Linked DNA regions of Callithrix jacchus. The protein of the gene in region 3 purifies or fractionates together with the protein of the main gene of each other region. This does not show direct contact. Links are inferred from orthologs where the notes say so. Each region holds a gene or a part of one and is shown on either strand. Other genes may lie near its edges.

Region 1 (6,218 bases), on a different chromosome or scaffold from region 3:
ACCTGTAATCCCAGCACTTAGGAAGGCCAAGGGGGACAAATCACTTGAGGTCAGGAGTTTGAGACCAGCCCGGCCAACATGGCGAAACCCGTTTTCTACTAAAAATACAAAAATTAGCCGGGCATGCACCTGTAATCTCAGATACTCAGGAGGCTGAGGCAGGAGAACCACTTGAATCTGGGAGGCGGAGGTTGCAATGAGCCGAGACCGCACCACTGCACTCTAGCCAGCCTAGGCAACAGAGCGAGACTCCATCTCAAACAAAAAAAAAAAAAAAAGGAAAGAAAGAAAAGGTAACTGCTGTGAGACATCAATGAGCTACAGGAAGTCAGAGGCAGGTGTGGGGCTGCATACTTACTCTCTTGCCCAGCCTTCTACTGTACCCACTGTTATCAACAGGGGTTCCTAAAGTAGAGGAAGGCGTGCCCTGGATGAGAGCAGAAGAGCCCAGTTTGGACTGTGATGTAAAATCACAAGACACAGTAGAAGCTCAATATCTACAATAACCACCGGAATTACCAGCTCTGGTCTGCCTTGAACTTGGAGGTGCCAAGATCAGGTGCTCTGAGGAAGTGGGGCTGCATGAGGGAGTATGCAGCGGGTGGCTCTCTTCCTCATTTCCTGGGTAAACACTGGGAGGCTGTGTAAATAAGACTTTGGTCCCTGGGTCCAGGCTGTTTATCCATTGGCAACTGATTTCCCTCTCTGGCCACTTCCTCCAGGACAGAGTTTGGCATGCTTGTGTTTCCAAAGCTTTGTTTATACTCTTATTTGGATATGGAGCCCCCATGGGAAGAAATGGGTGTTTTGGACATGAGAAAAAAATATATATTTTTCTTCAGGCCCCAAACCAGCATGTGGCTCAAATGACCAGCCCACTTATTCCCAGTCAATAAGCTATGTGATTAGAGATGGAAAGGGGAAGATGGAAGAGCAGATACTCAGGTGAGCTAATCTGTGAGGCTAGGGAGGACTTTTCTTTCTTTTTTTTTTTGAGATGGAGTCTCAATCTGTCTCCCAGGCTGGAATGCCTGGCGTGATCTCTGCTCACTGCAACCTCCACCTCCCAGGTTCAAGTGATTCACCCACCTCAGCCTCCCAAAGTGCTGGGATTACAGTCGTGAGCCACCGCCCCCAGCCTTAGGGAGGACTTTTCTATGGGTTTTCTCTCTTCTCTCTTTCTGCTATAAACACTTTTCTCGTTCTGACTACCTTTAGACTAAAGGGAAGCAATACTAGGAGTGAGGTGGAAGCAGAGGTAGGCAGAGAAGGCAGTAAAATGCTCATTGCAGAAAGAGATGTGGGGATTAAACACTAACCTCAGGACAGTGCTTATACCTTGGCCATGCTAGTAATAGGGTGGGGGGTTGTGGGAGTGGGGGAGAAAGGGTATGTGATCAAGGAAAGATGCCCATGGGGGCATCAACGGTATTGATAATGTTTTCTTTTTTTCTTGTTTTTGAGATGGAGTCACCCTCTGTTGCCTAGGCTGGAGTGCAGTGGCACAATCTTAACTCATTGCAACTCCCACCTCCCAAGTTCAAGTGATTCTCCTGCCTCAGGCTCCCGAGTACCTGGGATTACAGGCATGTGCCACCATGCCTGGCTAATTTTGTATATAGAGACAGGGTTTCATCATGTTGGCCAGGCTGGTCTTGAACTCCTAACCTCTTGATCCACCTGCCTCAGCCAAGTGCTGGGTTTACAGGCTTAAGCCACTGAGCCCAGCTAATAATGTCTTTTTCCTCAGGCTGGGCAGTGGGCACACTAATGTTCATTATATTACTTTTTATGCTTTTTGTGTGTGTCTAAAATACGTTTTTTTCTTTTTTTGAGATGGGGTCTTGCTCTGTCACCCAGCCTGGAGTACAGTGGCACAATCTTGGCTCACTGCAACCTCCGCCTCCCAGGTTAAGCGATTCTCATCCCTCAGCCTCCCCAGTAGATACGATTACAGCCATATGCCACCACACACAGCTAATTTTTGTATTTTTAGTAGAGGCAGGGTATTGCCGTGCTGGCCAGGCTGGTCTCAAATCAAGTGATTCACCGGCCTCGGCCTCCCAAAGTGCTGGGATTACAGGCATGAGCCACCGTGCCTGGCCTATGTGTCTAAAATATTTTATATGCACTATATTTTAAATAACTCTAGAACTAGGGGACTAGAGTTCCATTCTGCATTCTATCACCACCTTGCTGTGTGCCTGGAAAAGTTTACATGTTTATAAAATGGATGAGAATGTCTCCCAATTTTCTACCAATCTTTTATCACATTTTCACCATAAGCCCCCTAAATGCATTTACTTGTGTTCCCATTTTCGCTTGCTAAATATTAGGTCAGAACTTCTGATCAAGGCTGTCAAAGTGACCAGAAAAGGTTTATTACATTTCAGCTATGAGCAAGGAAACCTGACGTATTTGGTCTTATCACAAGTATAACTTCCTAGGTTAGGTGTGTGGGATGGGGTGTGTGTATGTGTGTGTGTTTTATTGTTGTTTTCTTTGACTTAAGTTTTTGCTATACTGCCCAGCCTGGAGCATGGTGGCAAGATGAGACCGTCCTTCAATGCAGCCTTGAACTGGGCTCAAGGGATCCTCTTGCCTCAGGCTCCTGAGTAGCCAGAATCACAGGCATGTGCCATTGTGTCTTAAACATCCAACCCCAGGTGATCCGCCCGCCTTGGCCTCCCAAAGTGCTGGGATTACAGGCATGAGCCACTGTGCCCGGCCAGACTGAATTTTTTAATGTACAACTTTAGAATGCTGGATTCAGAAAAACTGGAGCACCAGAGCAGAACCTGCACACTCCTAAGGGCATAATATTTTCTGCCTTGATAAGTTTGTAAATAACAAAAATAAGTTATAATAGCAAAAGCTACTATTCATTGAGGGTAGATACTTCAAATACATTATCTTTACTTATCCCCCCATCCTTGACTATTACTGTCTTTTAAAAATTTTTTTGGTCTCACTCTGTTGCCCAGGCTGGAGTGCAGTGATATAATCATGGCTCACTGCAGCCTTGACCTTCCAGGCTCAACAGATCCTCCCTCTTCAGCTTCCTGAGTAGCAGGAACCACAGGTGTGTACTACCATGCCCAGCCAACTTTTTTACTTTTGTAGAGATGGGGGTCTCACTATGTTGCCCAGGCTGGTCTCAAACTCCTGTCTGGGCTCAAGCAATCCTCTTGAGGATTGCTTCCCAAAGGGCTAGGATTACAGCCATGAATCACTGTGCCTGGCCTGTCTTCCTCTTAAAGAGGGAAAATAACACCAGAGGGTTTAGGAGACCAAGGATTCAAACTAAGACATTAAAGGTCATTTTCTTGCTTTAATACCAAGCTGCTCCTCTAGTAAGAGCCCACCCTCCTGTGAGTAGAGCCTGATTCTTGGCCTAAATGGGTTAAGGAAACCTCTAAAGCCATCTACAGGAAAAGCATGAATTTGTCTCATCTTGGAGGGGAATGAGACCCTGCAATTCAGAGAGCAAATACCTCACTCAGCAGCTGGCAGCTCCTCCAGTTGTTGGTAGCAAAGCAGCTCAATGCTTCAAGGAAAGTCTCTGTGGTTCTGTCATCAATACCACTGTACAGTTATTATAACTAACAAATAACTTTCTTCCTCGGGAATAAGACTACCTTGTGGTCAGCAGCAATAAACAAGTGCCGAATATTTTCTGACACAACATAAGCTGTCATAAGTTAATCAAAACTTCTTCTGGGACAATGCTGCTACACTATATGAAGTCTTAGATGCTAAGAGATAATTTCTAAAATAACACAAGGGGGAAGTCACATATGATAATTTTGTGCCGAATTTGAACATTTTTTTTTTCCCTACAGCTAAAATAATCCCCATGATTCCACAAACTAAGTGTGGCTTCTAAGATGGACCTGTTCTTAAGTTTCAAGTCTAAGGGGTCAAGGGCAGAATGACCTCATCTCAAAGACAGCACTGCCTAGAATCTGTCCTGAGTGGCCTCTAAATTCTCAACTAATACCCACAAAGTCAAAACAGTTACAGTTGGACAGAAATGAGAGATCATGTGGCCCAGCCCACTTTACAAAAGAAGAATCTGAGGGGAAGTGAGTTGCCCAGTCAGCTGAGAGTTAGAGTTAAATTTTACTGTATCTATTGTCTCCCCGTCCTGGGTCAGGAAAATTATTTTTCCACTACAATAATTACAGTACTCTTAGAACAGTGTTGTGAACATAATCAGAAAAAGTCCTACCTCTATCATTTACAATGAGGAAACATGAGAAATCAGACTTTCAGATGAAACAAGGAGGTATAATATACAGATATATAAAAGAAAAACCAAACTTGAAGGGTAAAAGCACTCTGGCACCTTTGGGAGGCAGGGGAAATCAGGTGTCCACTGAAGGGGAGGCTCAAGGACAGGAGAGCAGGCCTCTGCAGTGGAAAGGGAGATGCAACTGGGGGCTGGAGAGTGTGGAGGGAACAGAATGGACTTACATCTCTGCATCTGCTTGCTGTACTCGGACATGTTATCTGGACGGATGGAGCGCAAGAATTTAATGTAGTCATCGCTGTGGTACTTGGTCATCTCCTCAGCATTGGCTTTGTGAGGGCGCTAGAGGGCAGAAGGGAGAAAGGGCAAGTTATTTTGACCATTGCCAGTCCACTCAATCTAGTCTGAACATTTATATTTCTGCACAGCATGGAGCTAGCTGCTATGAAGAATAAAAAGAAATAACTGATTAGATTCAGGCCTCAAGAAATTTATCATCTAACTAGGCAAACAAGATGTATCAGAAGACCTAGAGCAGCTCAAGCTCTATGACTTAGGCAAGTTCTTATCTCTTGAGCCTCCATTTCCTTATTTACTAAACAGGGACAACATGGACCGCACAGGGAAGTTGTGAGAATTGGATGAGACTGTTAAATCTCTTTGTAAACTGTAAAGTGTTTTACAAAATTATTACCTTTTTTTTTTTTTTTGAGACAGAGTCTTGCTCTGTCACCTGGACTGGAGTGTTGCAGTGCTATAGCATGATCTCGGCTCACTGCAACCTCAGCCTCCCGGGTTCAAGTGATTCTCCTGCCTCAGCCTCCCGAACAGTTGAGATTACAGGAGCCCACCATCATGCCCAGCTAATTTTTGTATTTTTTTTTTTTTTTTTTGAGACGGAGTTTCGCTCTTGTTACCCAGGCTGGAGTGCAATGGCGCGATCTCGGCTCACTGCAACCTCCGCCTCCTGGGTTCAAGCAATTCTCCTGCCTCAGCCTCCTGAGTAGCTGGGATTACAGGCACGCGCCACCATGTCCAGCTAATTTTTTGTATTTTTAGTAGAGACGGGGTTTCACCATGTTGACCTGGATGGTCTTGATCTCTTGACCTCGTGATCCACCCGCCTCGGCCTCCCAAAGTGCTGGGATTACAGGCTTGAGCTACCACGCCCGGCCTGTCCATAATTTTATATAATATTTATTGATTTTGAGATGGAGTCTTGTTCTGTCACCAGGCTGGAGTACAGTGGCGCAATCTTGGCTCACTGCAACCTCTGCCTCAAGTGATCCTCCTGCCTCAGCTTCCTGAGTAGCTGGGACTGCAGGTGCATGCCACCACGCCCCGTTAATTTTTTTTTGTTTTTAGTAGAGACGGAATTTCACCATGTTGGCCAGGATGGTCTCGATCTTTTGACCTCATGATCTGCCTGCCTCGGCCTCCCAAAGTGCTGGGATTATAGGTGTGAGCCACCGTGCCTGGCCTTTATATAATATTTAATAATAAAAAGGAATAATTTTGTGGGCTGGGATTGCTCACACTTGCAATCCCAGCACTTTGGGAGGTGGAGGTTGCAGTGAGCTGAACCACTGTACTCTAGCCTGGGTCACATGACCCTGTAGTCAACCCTGAAATTAGAGGTGGGCAGATGACCTGAGGACTGAGACCACCCTGGCCAACATAGTGAAACCCCATCTCTACCAAAAATACAAAAATTAGTGGGGCATGGTGGTGGGCACTTGTAATCCCAGCTACTTAGGAGGCTAAGGCAGGAGAATCGCTTGAACGGGAGGCAGAGGTTGCAGTGAGCTGAGACAGTGTCACTGCGTTCCAGCCTGGGCAACAAAGCAAGACTCCATCTCAATGAATAAATTAATTAAATAAAATAAAAATAAAATTTAAAAAAATTATCAGGCAACCTCTCTGAGCCAGAATAGGTTCAGACTCCCAAGTTTTTCAACTCTGAACA
Region 2 (6,218 bases), on a different chromosome or scaffold from region 3:
GTACATTTCAGTTGCTTCCCCTTTTTGTTGTTATAAATTTTTTGCCAACAAATTAGATAATCTAAACGAAATGAGCAAATTCCTATAAAGACACAAACTACCAAAACTGACTTATTAAGAAATGTTTAAATTTCAGTAGAATTATAAGTTAAGAGACAAAATCAGTAATCAAGAAAGAAAAGCCCAGAACTCTGTGGCTCCACAGGTGAATATTACCAAACATTTAAAGAATTAACTCCAATGCTTCTCAAACTTCTAAAAAAAAACAGAACAAATCCTAACTAATTCTTTGAGGTTGGTATTACTGTAACACCAAAACTAGACAAATGTATCACAGAAAAAAACTACAAGCAATATCCCTGATGAATACAGATGCAAAAATGTTCAACAAAATACTAGCAAACCAAATCTGATACCATGTTAAATTGATTATTTACAAAGGCCAAGTCAAATTTATTAAAATAAAAACAAAATAAATCCAATAAACAAAAAGGGACGGTGGTTGAACATGTGAGAATCAATTACAGAATAAACTAAAGCTTTGGACTATGGTTGATGATGATGTGTTAAAGTAGGTTTATCAGCTATAACAAATGTACTCTCTGGTGTTGGATATATTGATAAGTGGGGAAAACTGCATGTGGGAGGTTGTCAGGTGGTATACAGAAACTCTGTAATGTCTACTAAATTTTCCTATGAACCTAAAACTGCTCTAAAACATAAAGTCTACTAAGAAAAAAAGTGGGGGGGGGGGGCAAGAATCTGAGTAGGTATTTCTGAAAGAAGATACACAAATGGCCAATAAACACATGATATTCAAGATCATTCGTCATCAATGCAAATAAAAACCCCAACATCAAACCACTAATTGGCTATTAAGGTAAAAATAGAGAAAACAAGTATTGACAGGAATGTGAAGAACTTACGCATACATTATGGGTAGGAACCTAAATTGGTACAGCCACCATGAAAAACAGGGTGGCAGTTTCTCAAAAAGGTAAACAGAATTACCATGTAACTAAGCAATTCAACCCCTAGGTATATATACCCAACCAAAAGAAGTGAAATCCCTCTGTTCACAAAAAAGCTTGTTCACAAGCATTCACAGCAACATTTTTCATAGTAGTGTAAAAGTATAAACAATAAAAAATGTCCATAAACTGATAAATATAATTGGGTATATCCACCCAAAGAAAGATTCATCACTGACAAGAATGAGGTATGGATGCATGCTACAACATGGATAAACCTGAAAACATATGCTAAGTCAAAGAAGTAGACACAAAAGGCCACATATTATATGATTCTGTTTATATTAAATGTCCAGAATAGGCAAACCCATAGAGACAGAAAGCAGATTGTTAGTGGTTACCACTGAAGAGCAGAAGAGACAGGGAGCAACTGCTTAAGAAGTATGTGATTTCCTTTTGGGGTGATAAAAATGTTCTGGAATTAGATAGTGGTAATAGACACACAGCATTGTAAATATACTAGAAGCTACTAGATTATATACTTTTAAGCAGTTAAGATGATGAATTTTATGTTACAGTAATGTTTCCTCAGCTAAAAAGAAAACCGAAACAAATTTAAATTCACTCAGCAACATATTAACATGATCATAAGTCCTTTCAGTATTCCTTTTTTTCACCTATAGTTCCATGCATCTTTCAGGATTCTTATATCTGTCTATTCAAAACCTAGATCTATAAACAGCAAGCAGATAATTTACAACTGCAATACCATTAACAGTTACAAGACAAATTTTTAGTTCTAGCTACTAAAAGAAACAAACAAGAGGGAAAAAAAAGCCATGTAATAATCTTAAAAGACAAGCTTATACTGATCACTGTACTCACTTTTAAGTGCAAGTAAACCCAATTATTTAAGTAAGCTGACAGAATACAAACATAAATTAACCCTGTCCTGGAAAGCAGCAGTGACTCACCAAGCTTCTCTGGCTCATCGGGCCCTGTGCCCGCAATGCAGCTGCTCTCTAGGCCGTAGGTGGGATCCACTTTCCCAGAGGCTCGTGCTGCTTCTTGTACTTTCTTGACATGAGCTTCAACCAATTCCAGTGGTACCTCCTCCCGGACCCGAGAAAATTCCTCTGGTTCAAGAATAAAAATAGAACAGCAATCTAATTTTGCAGAAAAATTTGTTTCAATGTAAAACCGCCACCAGAAAACACAACACAATATTATTGTCTTAGGTGTAGCAACCTCTCCAGGCTCTCAGTCCCTCTATACCAGCGATATGAGAGAACTAAATGAGATAAAAATAGACAATAATAAAATTCTATGACTCTCGATTTTATCCTACACATCACACAGTGCCTTGAAATAAAAGATACCTTTCAACTTATACGAACAATAATGAAAATTGCTGTCCATATTTAACTTTGCTTACTAGATTAATAAATCACAGAAACAAAAACAACAAGAACTAAACATCTATAAAACCAAGAAAGAGTTCCATGATGTGAGAAAGTTCTAGTTATAATTAACATGTCATCGGTAAATATTAAATATTGCTAGTTATATCAAATTCTAAATTAATCACAAAATATACAATAAAAAAATCTCTTTATGGTACCCTCTACATACTGTTGGAATTTAAAAACAAAAACCTCTGTCCCTCCAATTCCTAAGGCTCTTAATTTTAAGGTGCATTATTTCCAAATACTTTTATAAAGAACATGGTAATATGGTACTTTTCATGGGTAATATCTGATTTTTGTTATTTATATTTTTAAAGAATGAATGTAACAGCTAATAATATTTAAATTCAGTTTTTCTGTTGAGGAGATGGTTTAGGGAAGTCCATACCTAAAGCCGCTTTTGCTGCAGCAGATGCCACGCGAGGGTCCACCACAGATGCCAAAAAAGCAACAGTACTCATGACTGGATTTCCTGACTGACTAAAGGGGACAGGCTGGTAGGCCAAAGGCCCAAGGGAAGCATCTGAATTCTCAAGGTATGGGTCCTCAATGGGAAGTCTCAAAAAGTGGAGGATACATTCATCCTGAGTACGACTTCCGACATGTTCTGACACTTTATTCCAATCGTCCTTGTACATCTCCAGGGCCTAAAATAGAAAAACCAGAAGCTTTCATGTCAGGTAACAAGAAAGTAATGTGTAGTATTACAAGTTTTTTATATAGCTGTTTCAAAAAAAATTAATGCAATATATTATACATAAGGAAACATATGTAAGGAAATATACATAAGGAAATGGCTTTCCTTATATTAGGTTTTCAATCAGGCGAGAAACAATAAATAAACGGCATGCATACTAGAAAGAAATAGTAGGCCAGGTGTGGTGGCTCAAATCTATAATCCAAGCACTTTGGGAGGTTGAGATGGGTGGATCACCTGAGGTCAGGAGTTCAGCAACATGGCCAACGACATGATGAAACCCCATCTCTACTAAAAATACAAAAATTAGCCAACACAGTGGTGCACGCCTGTAATCCCAGCTACTTGGGAGGTTGAGGTACAATAATCTCTTGAACCTGGGAGGCAGACGTGAACCAAGATCTTGTCACTGCACTCCAGTCTGGGCAATAAGAGCAAAAAGAAAAGAAAAAAAAAAAACACAGAAAGCAAGGGGGGGAGGGGAGGAGGGAGGTAAGGAAGCCGAGGGAGGGGAGGGGGAGAGGGAGGGGAGGGGAGGGGGAAGGGGAAGGGGAGGAAAGGCAGGGGAGGTGGGGAGGGAGAAAGACGGAGAGAGAGAAACAGAAAAACAGAGACAAGAGAGAAGAAAGAAAAAAGAAAAAGGGAAAGAAAGAAGTAAAACTTTTTAAAATACAGACATGACTGTTTATATAGATATTTCTAAGGAAGCTATTAAAAAAAAGTACTAAAACTAAATAGCTGAGCAAAGTCACAGGATAGAAGGACAACAGAAAAACTCAATTATATTTCCATATATAATAACAATGAACAATTTTAAACAGGAAGAAAAAAGTATTTAAAATAACCTAAAAGCTGGGTGTGGTGGCACACATCTATAGTCCCAGCTACTCAGGGAGCTGAGGTGAGAGAATCTCTCGAACCAAGGAGTTAAAGACCAGCCTGACAAACAGAGTAAGACCCTGTCTTAAACAGCATAATGAAATATTTAGGAATAAACATAACAAAGTATGTATATGAGCAACATGAGTAAAACATGAGAGAACTCAAAGATCTAAATAAGATAAAGATATATTGTGTTCATTCACTAGAAGTCTCAGTATTAAGATGTCAATTCTTTTCCAAGTTGAACTGCAACAAATTCAGTACAATCTCAAAGTCCAAGTAGGCTTCATTTTAGTAGAAATTGATAAATCTAAAAGGTATAAAGTACATATATTTCTAGTTTTATAAATCCTGAAACAAACAAACAAACAGAGTAAAATGAGTCTCCAAGGGAAAAACCGAAAGAATGGTAGAAAGAAAACCACATCTACATGGTGCTAAGAAAGTTGGGAATTAATTGGATAAAAAGAATTTATTTAGAGACCTGCTGAAGTTGCTACTCTAACACCCTTCTCTCCAGGGCCATGGTTTTCAATGAAGGGTAATTTTTGCCCCCTTGAGGACATGGCAATGTCTGCGGTTATTTTCGGTTGACCCAACTGGGGAAGTGCTACTGGTGTCTAGCAAGGAGAGGCTAGGTATGCTGTAAAACATACATGAATCCTCCACCCTAACAACAAAAAAATCTGGCCCAAATGTCGATATTGAATGCTCCAACTGAAAAGCCTTGTGCTAGAGCCTAATTTGCTCATCTACACTGTGAGATGAGTTTTCTATAACAATAGTTGTCTCTGTTTACTTTTCGGTTATTTTTCTTCAAAGGTTTTTGTTTTTAATTTTTAGAGACAGGGTCTCACAATATTACCCAGGATGGTCACAGAATCCTGAGCTCAAGCAATCCTCCCATCTCAGCCTCCTCAAGTGCTGAGATTACAGGTGTCAAACAGTGGACCTGGCCATCAATTAATTCTTAACTCTGGGTTTCAACTGCTGCTCAGGCTTTCATTTTTGCTAGAATGGTAGAGGATTTCTCAAAACCCAAGCCAGCAAATGGACTGACTCATTAAATCCCTTGAAAAACTAGGCTAATTCTGGGTTTCCTCTGGATATTCAGTGACCTCTGGATATTTGATAACCTTAGATAGTTTGAGAAGGAATTACTTTTTGAAAGACCCAGATTGTAAGAAAAAAGAAAAAAAAAATCTGTCTCACTAGGGTCCATGAAAGCAGAAATATAGCTACTGGGGCTGTATTACGTTTCTAACTATAAATAGGAACTTTCTAGATATGCTATATCATGCCCTTTTCCAATGAAGTTTTATTTTAAAAATATTTTTTTATGTTCCTTCAGCCAAGGAATAATAAAGTTCAGAAAGTTTTTTCCAGAATAGAGGTGGAGTTGGGGAACCTCTGAAATGCAAAATCTAAGCAAGAATCAGCATACAGCACAGCATAGAGCTGAGAATCAGTAAATGTCTGAGCCTGGGAACTGACAGTAGTGTTAATAAGAGAGGGAAATTAAAGAAATGTTTTGAAAAGAGAATAATATGGTAACGCACTGGCCAGGAAGGAGGATGATTCAATTAAAGTTTTTAATAAGTATCTTATATTACTACAAAACAGCTTCATTCTTCCTGCCATAAACCAGGTTAATTTTTTTTCTTTTTTAAGAGACAGGGTCTTGCTATGTTGCCCAGGCTGCTGTGCAATTCCTGGCCTCAAGTGATCCTTCCATCTTGGCCTCATAAATGGATTCTTGTAATTACCTTTCTATCCTTAATTTCATCCTTCTCCATGCTGCTAGAGTGAAATACATTTTACACAAAACACTCCTCCCTAAAACTATTTTATTATATGTCATTATCTTATGAAACTAAGCCAAACATGATCAGGACACTGCCTTCCTATGTCTTCTACCCTATTACCTACTTTTCATGTTTCAAGAATACACAGACCCCACTGGATCTATTCCTAGGTATTGTGCCTGTGAACCATTTGTTCTGCACGAGAAACATCCATGTTTTAGGACCAACACAGCTATACCATTCCCAGAAGGCTGTTCATTATGTCTTATCCACCTAGCCTATTTGCAAAGCAACTCCTTTGTACAGCTCTTGTGCTCTGAACATACCTCTAATCACAAAGTTGGGAAATCTGCATTCAAGCTTTGTGTTTTATCTGTCTCTGCCACCTTAGACCATG
Region 3 (6,470 bases):
TCCTGGGCCCACACAGCCACTCACATGCTCTGGGCCTCCGGGCCGTCGTGGTTCAAGTTCCCACCATTCTCCTCCTTGGGGAAAGGCTGAACAGGACTGGGGTGGGGGTAGGGAAGCAGCAGGCGGGGCCTGTTGAGCAAGAGCCTTGTAAAAACAAGGGCTTACGTCATCCTAGCTTGCAGCTTCCCTGCAGGACACCTGGGGTGGCACCGGGGTGGGACCTGCCCTGAGAACGAATGGGTCATCCCCGGCAGGGGGTGGAGGGTGGGGAAGGGTGGCAAGCATGCTCCACTCTGGAGGCCATAGGGCCTGGACCCCTGCGGGGCCGAGCCTGGTCTTTGGGGGCTGGCCCTCAGGGTCCAAGTAACACTTAACCCAGAGCGTGAGACCCTCTGGGCTACTCTTCTCTGGGCCTCAGTTTTCCTCTCCAGAAGCTGGGACTCACATTGCCAGGCCTGTTGTGACAAACCCGAGGGGGAAAGTCGGGCTGGGCAGATTTCGTTCCTTCTCATCCTTCCGTGTGACCTGGGGCACACACACTCAGTTCTTCTGGGCCTCAGTGTCCTCATCTGTAAAGTGGAGATGATGGTAAGACTCTGGCCTGGCGCAATGGCTCACACCCATAATTTCAGCACTTTGGAAGCTGAGCACCACTTGAGGCCAAGAATTTGAGAAAAGCCTGGGCAACATAGTGAGACACCCATCTCCACAAAACTTCAAAAAATATAGAAAAAGAAAAAAAACAGACCTGCCTCCTCAAATTATCAAGAAGATTAAATGAATTAATACATGCAAAGAGCTTGGAATGTGGTTCAGAGAGGGTGGAAGATTGGCCTGAGGACACACAGCAAATCCTCCAATCCTTCAGTCTCCCAAATCTCATTTCGTCTCTTTAGAATCCAGAAGGGGGATGTGGACGAGTGCTGTGGCTCAGAGAGGGAAGCCATTTTGCCTAAGGCAAACGAGGAACCTCTCCTTCTTCTCAGCCTCCTCCATTGTTCATTCATTGAGCACCTTCTGTGTACCAGGCTCTGTTCTAGGCACCGGGGACACAGTGGTGAAGGCCATGGGGACAGACAGCAAGATGGGCAGGTGAGATAATTCCGATCATAGTAAGAATTGTGACAGCAGGGGGGTGTGAGAGGATCGACTGAGGGGCTGGACTTCCCATGGGGAGATTGGACAGGGGGCGGTTTCCTGGAGGAGGCAGCCTTTGGGCTGAGAACTGAGGAGCTGCCTTGGGCAGAGGTGGGGTGACAGTGTTCTTGGTGCATAGGGAACAGCAAATGCATTCATTCACGGGTCCATGTTGAGTGTGCTGCACCCAGGAATTCCTCGTGGGCCAGCCCTCCCTGAGCGGCAGTCTGCAGGGAGACTGAGATAGACCACTAGGAGAATGGAGGCTGGTGATAGGGAAGGAAATTCGCCAGCAGGGGGGACAGAGAGGGCTGCTCTGAAGCCGTGGCCTCTAGCTCAGCCCCGAGTGTCCCATTTTCCAGTGAGGAAGGCCTGGCCGGGTGGCCCTGGGGAAACTGCTGCACCCCTCTGGGCCTTGATCCCTCCCCAGCTCAGAGGCTGCTGGGAAGGCCCAGAAAGCCAGCAGGCTCGGCCAGTGTTCTATCCCCTCCCTCCCTGCCTCCTACCCACCAAGGGTGCCCAGAAATGTTATTTCTCCAGCTCTTGGGGGCAGAGGTCACCCCAGCTCAGCAGATAACATCGAAGGTTGAGCAATGCCCGCCTGCCTGCTGGGGCCAGGGCTGGGGTCAGTGGGCCGGGGGTCAGCCCCTGGCAGGCTGGGAGCTCCTGCCTGGGCAGCCTGGGCTAGGAGTGGCAGAGAGGTGGGCCCAGGGAGCTGCCCCAGTGGCCTAGGAGTGGGTCCCGGAGGGCAAAGGGCCCTCTGACCTGAGCCTACCCAGCAGAGGCGGGCAGTGGTCAGAGGACCTCTGGCCTGTGCTCAAGTCCAGACTGGTGCTTGTCACTTTCCCGTCTGTGAAAAGGCAGCAGCAGAAGCATCTTCCTGGTGGGGTGAAAAAAGTTGAACCTTGGGGTCCAGGCCCACCCCGAGCACAGGGCAGGGACTTGGTAAAAACAGGGGTGTCTCTTCTCTTTCCTGAATGCCACCCCCTCTCCCGTGAGGCCTGGCTTAAGCCGCTCACGGCAGCTTCAGAAACAGAAGCTTTTTGGTCTCTGGGGCTGGCAATAGGTCTTAGGGCCCAGAGAGGGCAGGCATTTCGTGTGGGATGAATGTGGGCGGGACACTAGGCTGTGACCTTGGTATGCCATGCTATGCCCCCTCTGGGCCTCCAGTGGCACAATCCGTGGGGGTCCCTTTTTCTCCGATGTGCTGCCTATAAGGTAAACCTCAGGTTGGGGAGTCTGTAGGAACAATGCCACCACTGCTGACAGTAGGGACACCCTTCATGGACTGCAGCTGGGAGAAGTGAAGGGACTCACCCAAGGTCACACAGTGTGGCAGGGCCGAGCGCCCCCCAACTCCATCCCCATCGCAGGGCCCAGGTCGGGTGGTGCGGTGCGGGGTGGGAGAAGACCCAGGTGTTGAAGCCGCGAGCAGGCGGCAGGTGAGGTGGGCGGGGCGCCGTCCACCAGGGTCCAGCCCCCAGCGGAGCGCGCTCCTGCCCTGTCCCCTCCCCGACCCCCGGGATCCTCATATTGGTGGCTTAAGAGGGAGTCGTCACAGGCCTGGAGTCTCCTTTCTAGAGCCAGGGACCTGGGGAAGGGGTGGGAGTTTAGGAGAGGAAGGGCCACGGGGATGGGTCGCTTCTCCAGGAGCTAGAGCTGCGGCCTGGGGTCTCCAGGGATCGGCCCGGGGAGCGGCCCCCGGTCGGCAGTCCGGGCTCGGCTCGGCCCTCCTGAAACCTCCGCCTCCTCCAGCAGGGGGCGGGCCGCGGCCGCGTCTCCGGGGGGAAGGCGCTCAGGTCGCCCCCTCCTCGGATTCCCCCGCCTTTCAGGGCAGCCTCCAGCCCAGAGGGGCGGTCCGGGGGCGGGGTCGCACCGCCCCCTCTCGCTCCCAATCCCGGGGCGGCCGAGCGCGGGTGGGCAGGGGGCGCGATGCCGCTCCCCCCGCGGCCCGGGGACCCCCGGAAAACGCGCTCCGGGTGCCCGGTCCCTCCGCTGCGCCCCGCCACCGGCCTCCCGGGGGTCTCGGGCGTCCGCGGCCGTGTCCTCCGCGTCCCGGTGGCGGCGGCGGGAGGGGCCGGCGTGACGCACGGTTGCTACGGGCCGCCCTTATAAATAACCGGGCTCAGGAGAAACTTTAGCGAGTCAGAGCCGCGCACGGGACTGGGAAGGGGACCCACCCGAGGGTCCAGCCACCAGCCCCCGCACTAATAGCGGCCACCCCGGCAGCCGCGGCAGCAGCAGCGACGCAGCGGCGACAGCTCACAGCAGGGAGGCCGCGCCACCTGCGGGCCGGCCGGAGCGGGCAGCCCCAGGCCCCCTCCCCGGGCACCCGCGTTCATGCAACGCCTGGTGGCCTGGGACCCAGCATGTCTCCCCCTGCCGCCGCCGCCTGCCTTTAAATCCATGGAAGTGGCCAACTTCTACTACGAGGCGGACTGCTTGGCTGCTGCGTACGGCGGCAAGGCGGCCCCCGCGGCGCCCCCCGCGGCCAGACCCGGGCCGCGCCCCCCCGCCGGCGAGCTGGGCAGCATCGGCGACCACGAGCGCGCCATCGACTTCAGCCCGTACCTGGAGCCGCTGGGCGCGCCGCAGGCCCCGGCGCCCGCCACGGCCACGGACACCTTCGAGGCGGCTCCGCCTGCGCCCGCCCCCGCGCCCGCCTCCTCCGGGCAGCACCACGACTTCCTTTCCGACCTCTTCTCCGACGACTACGGGGGCAAGAACTGCAAGAAGCCGGCCGAGTACGGCTACGTGAGCCTGGGGCGCCTGGGGGCCGCCAAGGGCGCGCTGCACCCCGGCTGCTTCGCGCCCCTGCACCCGCCGCCCCCGCCGCCGCCGCCGCCCGCCGAGCTCAAGGCGGAGCCGGGCTTCGAGCCCGCGGACTGCAAGCGGAAGGAGGAGGCCGGGGCGCCGGGCGGCGGCGCAGGCATGGCGGCGGGCTTCCCGTACGCGCTGCGCGCTTACCTCGGCTACCAGGCTGTGCCGAGCGGCAGCAGCGGGAGCCTCTCCACGTCCTCGTCGTCCAGCCCGCCCGGCACGCCGAGCCCCGCCGACGCCAAGGCGCCCCCGGCCGCCTGCTACGCTGGGGCCGCGCCGGCGCCCTCGCAGGTCAAGAGCAAGGCCAAGAAGACCGTGGACAAGCACAGCGACGAGTACAAGATCCGGCGCGAGCGCAACAACATCGCCGTGCGCAAGAGCCGCGACAAGGCCAAGATGCGCAACCTGGAGACGCAACACAAGGTCCTGGAGCTCACGGCCGAGAACGAGCGGCTGCAGAAGAAGGTGGAACAACTGTCGCGCGAGCTCAGCACCCTGCGGAACTTGTTCAAGCAGCTTCCCGAGCCCTTGCTCGCCTCCTCCGGCCACTGCTAACGCGGCCCCCGCGCGCGTCCCCCTGCCGGCCGGGGCCGAGACTCCGGGGAGCGCCCGCACCCGCGCCCGCGCCCCCGCCCCCGCCCCCGGCGGCGCCGGCAAAACTTTGGCACTGGGGCACTTGGCAGCGCGGGGAGCCCGTCGGTAATTTTAATATTTTATTATATATATATATATATCTATATTTTTGTCCAAATCAACCGCACATGCAGATGGGGCGCCCGCCCGTGGTGTTATTTAAAGAAGAAACGTCTATGTGTACAGATGAATGACTCTCTGCCTCTCCCTCTGCCCCTCTCCAGGCGCCGGCGGGCGGGCCGGTTTCGAAGTTGATGCAATCGGTTTAAACATGGCCGAACGCGTGTGTACATGGGACTGACGCAACCCACGTGTAACTGTCAGCCGGGCCCTGAGTAATCGCTTAAAGATGTTCCTACGGGCTTGTTGCTGTTGATGTTTTGTTTTGTTTTGTTTTTTGGTCTTTTTTTTTTTTTTTGTATTATAAAAATAATCTATTTCTATGAGAAAGGCGTCTGTATATTTTGGGAATCTTTTCCGTTTCAAGCATTAAGTAAGAACACTTTTAATAAACTTTTTTTTGAGAATGGTTACAAAGCCTTTTGGGGGCAGTAATTGGCTTTTGTTTTTTTTTTTCTTTATTTTGGATTTGTTGGATTTTGTTTTTGCGTTTCTGGTGTGTAGGGGGTTGTGTGTGGGGAAGCTGCTGTTATTTTTGGAGGTTTTGGTGGTTGGGTGGGGGTGTTGCAGCTGGTTTTTCTGCCTCTGCTACTCCTCCCCCCACCCACAGGGTCTGCTTGGAGATGGGGTTCCAGCTCTGGGGAAAAGGGGAGAACAGTGATGGCTCAGGCTTTCAGGCTGACTCAGAGTCCCTGGGCGCTGGGACGGGTGGCTGGGAACCCTGCTTGAGAAGGGAGTCCAGGGCCTCTGGCTGGTCCGGAGTGTCAGGCTTGGGTTTGGAAGGGCTGGGACGTCTGTGACCCCTGTCCTGTGTTTGGGGATCGTAGGCACGCCTGTGACTGTAAGAGGAGAGGGTTCAGGTCTTGGTCCGAGTCAGGGCAGATGCCTGTGGTAAGTGTAGTAGGGTGGGTTGTTTAAAACACAGTTTGTGTATACGTGTGTATTTTAAAGAGGGGAGCCTGGGTATGTGGGCAAGTCTGTGTTTGTGTGTCCCTGGCCAGCAGGAGGGGAGAAGCCAGGCCAGGTGGAGGGAGGTGGGGAAGGGGTTCTCACACTTTGATTCCCTTTCCTTGGGATGGGGGGGCTCATCACTTGCCCTTTTTTGCCCAAACATGGACACTGAGCCCACCATACCTGCTTGCTCAAGGTGGCTGAGTCCAGGCACGAACCTGGGGCTGCTAGCCCTTATTCCCTGGGACAGGTTCCTCTTCCCTGCCCCCTGATCCCTCTGACCCTTCCAGCTTCTCCCTGCACCCCCACCCCCATGCAGCCCCGGATGGCATTCCTGAGAGTTGAGGATGTAGATGGATGTGAGTGGATGCATGTACAGCGTCCCACAGTGCCTGGCATGCAAGAGGTGTTATATAAGCGCTTGCTCTTGTTATTATTTTTCGCTGGGAAGCTGCTGGCATTTGGCACCCCAGTCTCCAGTGCAGCGCCAGTGTGGCCACTACTTGCCAGGGGCCGGCATCTGGTAAACACTGGACCTGCCCCATCCCATTTAGACCTCACAACAACCTTTGGGGAGGTGGGGACTGTTATGATGCCTGTTTCTAGAGGTGGGGAGCAGCTTTGGGCTGTCCGATCCCTATGGGCAAGACAAGGTTGGGGGTTGCCCTGCTCTGAGGAATTCAGGGGCAGCAGGGGTTGTAGACTGGCCTGCCAAAGGCCTGGGGCAGTCTGGGATCTCAGGAGCAGCTGCTGATACGGTGGTTCCTGGTTTGAGAATGGGAAATGTGTTGCCCCTCCTTTTCCCTTTG

Evidence for each region.
Region 1: the proteins of CEBPB (region 3) and HDAC1 purify together in Homo sapiens (affinity purification with western blotting; 3 studies listed by BioGRID, with this or other methods). This does not show direct contact. The link is inferred for Callithrix jacchus from reciprocal best matches to the Homo sapiens genes CEBPB and HDAC1.
Region 2: the proteins of CEBPB (region 3) and SMARCC1 purify together in Homo sapiens (affinity purification with western blotting; 3 studies listed by BioGRID, with this or other methods). This does not show direct contact. The link is inferred for Callithrix jacchus from reciprocal best matches to the Homo sapiens genes CEBPB and SMARCC1.

What each region holds. Positions count from the first base shown.
Region 1 is NC_133508.1:68,927,757-68,933,974, reverse strand, and holds part of HDAC1 (histone deacetylase 1), read right to left. Parts: intron 4,595-6,218; coding exon 4,477-4,594; exon of another isoform or gene 1-4,476. UniProt on the Homo sapiens protein: Histone deacetylase that catalyzes the deacetylation of lysine residues on the N-terminal part of the core histones (H2A, H2B, H3 and H4).
Region 2 is NC_133516.1:30,347,465-30,353,682, forward strand, and holds part of SMARCC1 (SWI/SNF complex subunit SMARCC1), read right to left. Parts: intron 3,085-6,218; coding exon 2,826-3,084; intron 2,108-2,825; coding exon 1,946-2,107; intron 1-1,945. UniProt on the Homo sapiens protein: Involved in transcriptional activation and repression of select genes by chromatin remodeling (alteration of DNA-nucleosome topology).
Region 3 is NC_133506.1:45,724,338-45,730,807, forward strand, and holds CEBPB (CCAAT/enhancer-binding protein beta), read left to right. Parts: upstream 1-3,276; 5' UTR 3,277-3,477; coding exon 3,478-4,512; 3' UTR 4,513-5,127; downstream 5,128-6,470. UniProt on the Homo sapiens protein: Important transcription factor regulating the expression of genes involved in immune and inflammatory responses. Also plays a significant role in adipogenesis, as well as in the gluconeogenic pathway, liver regeneration, and hematopoiesis.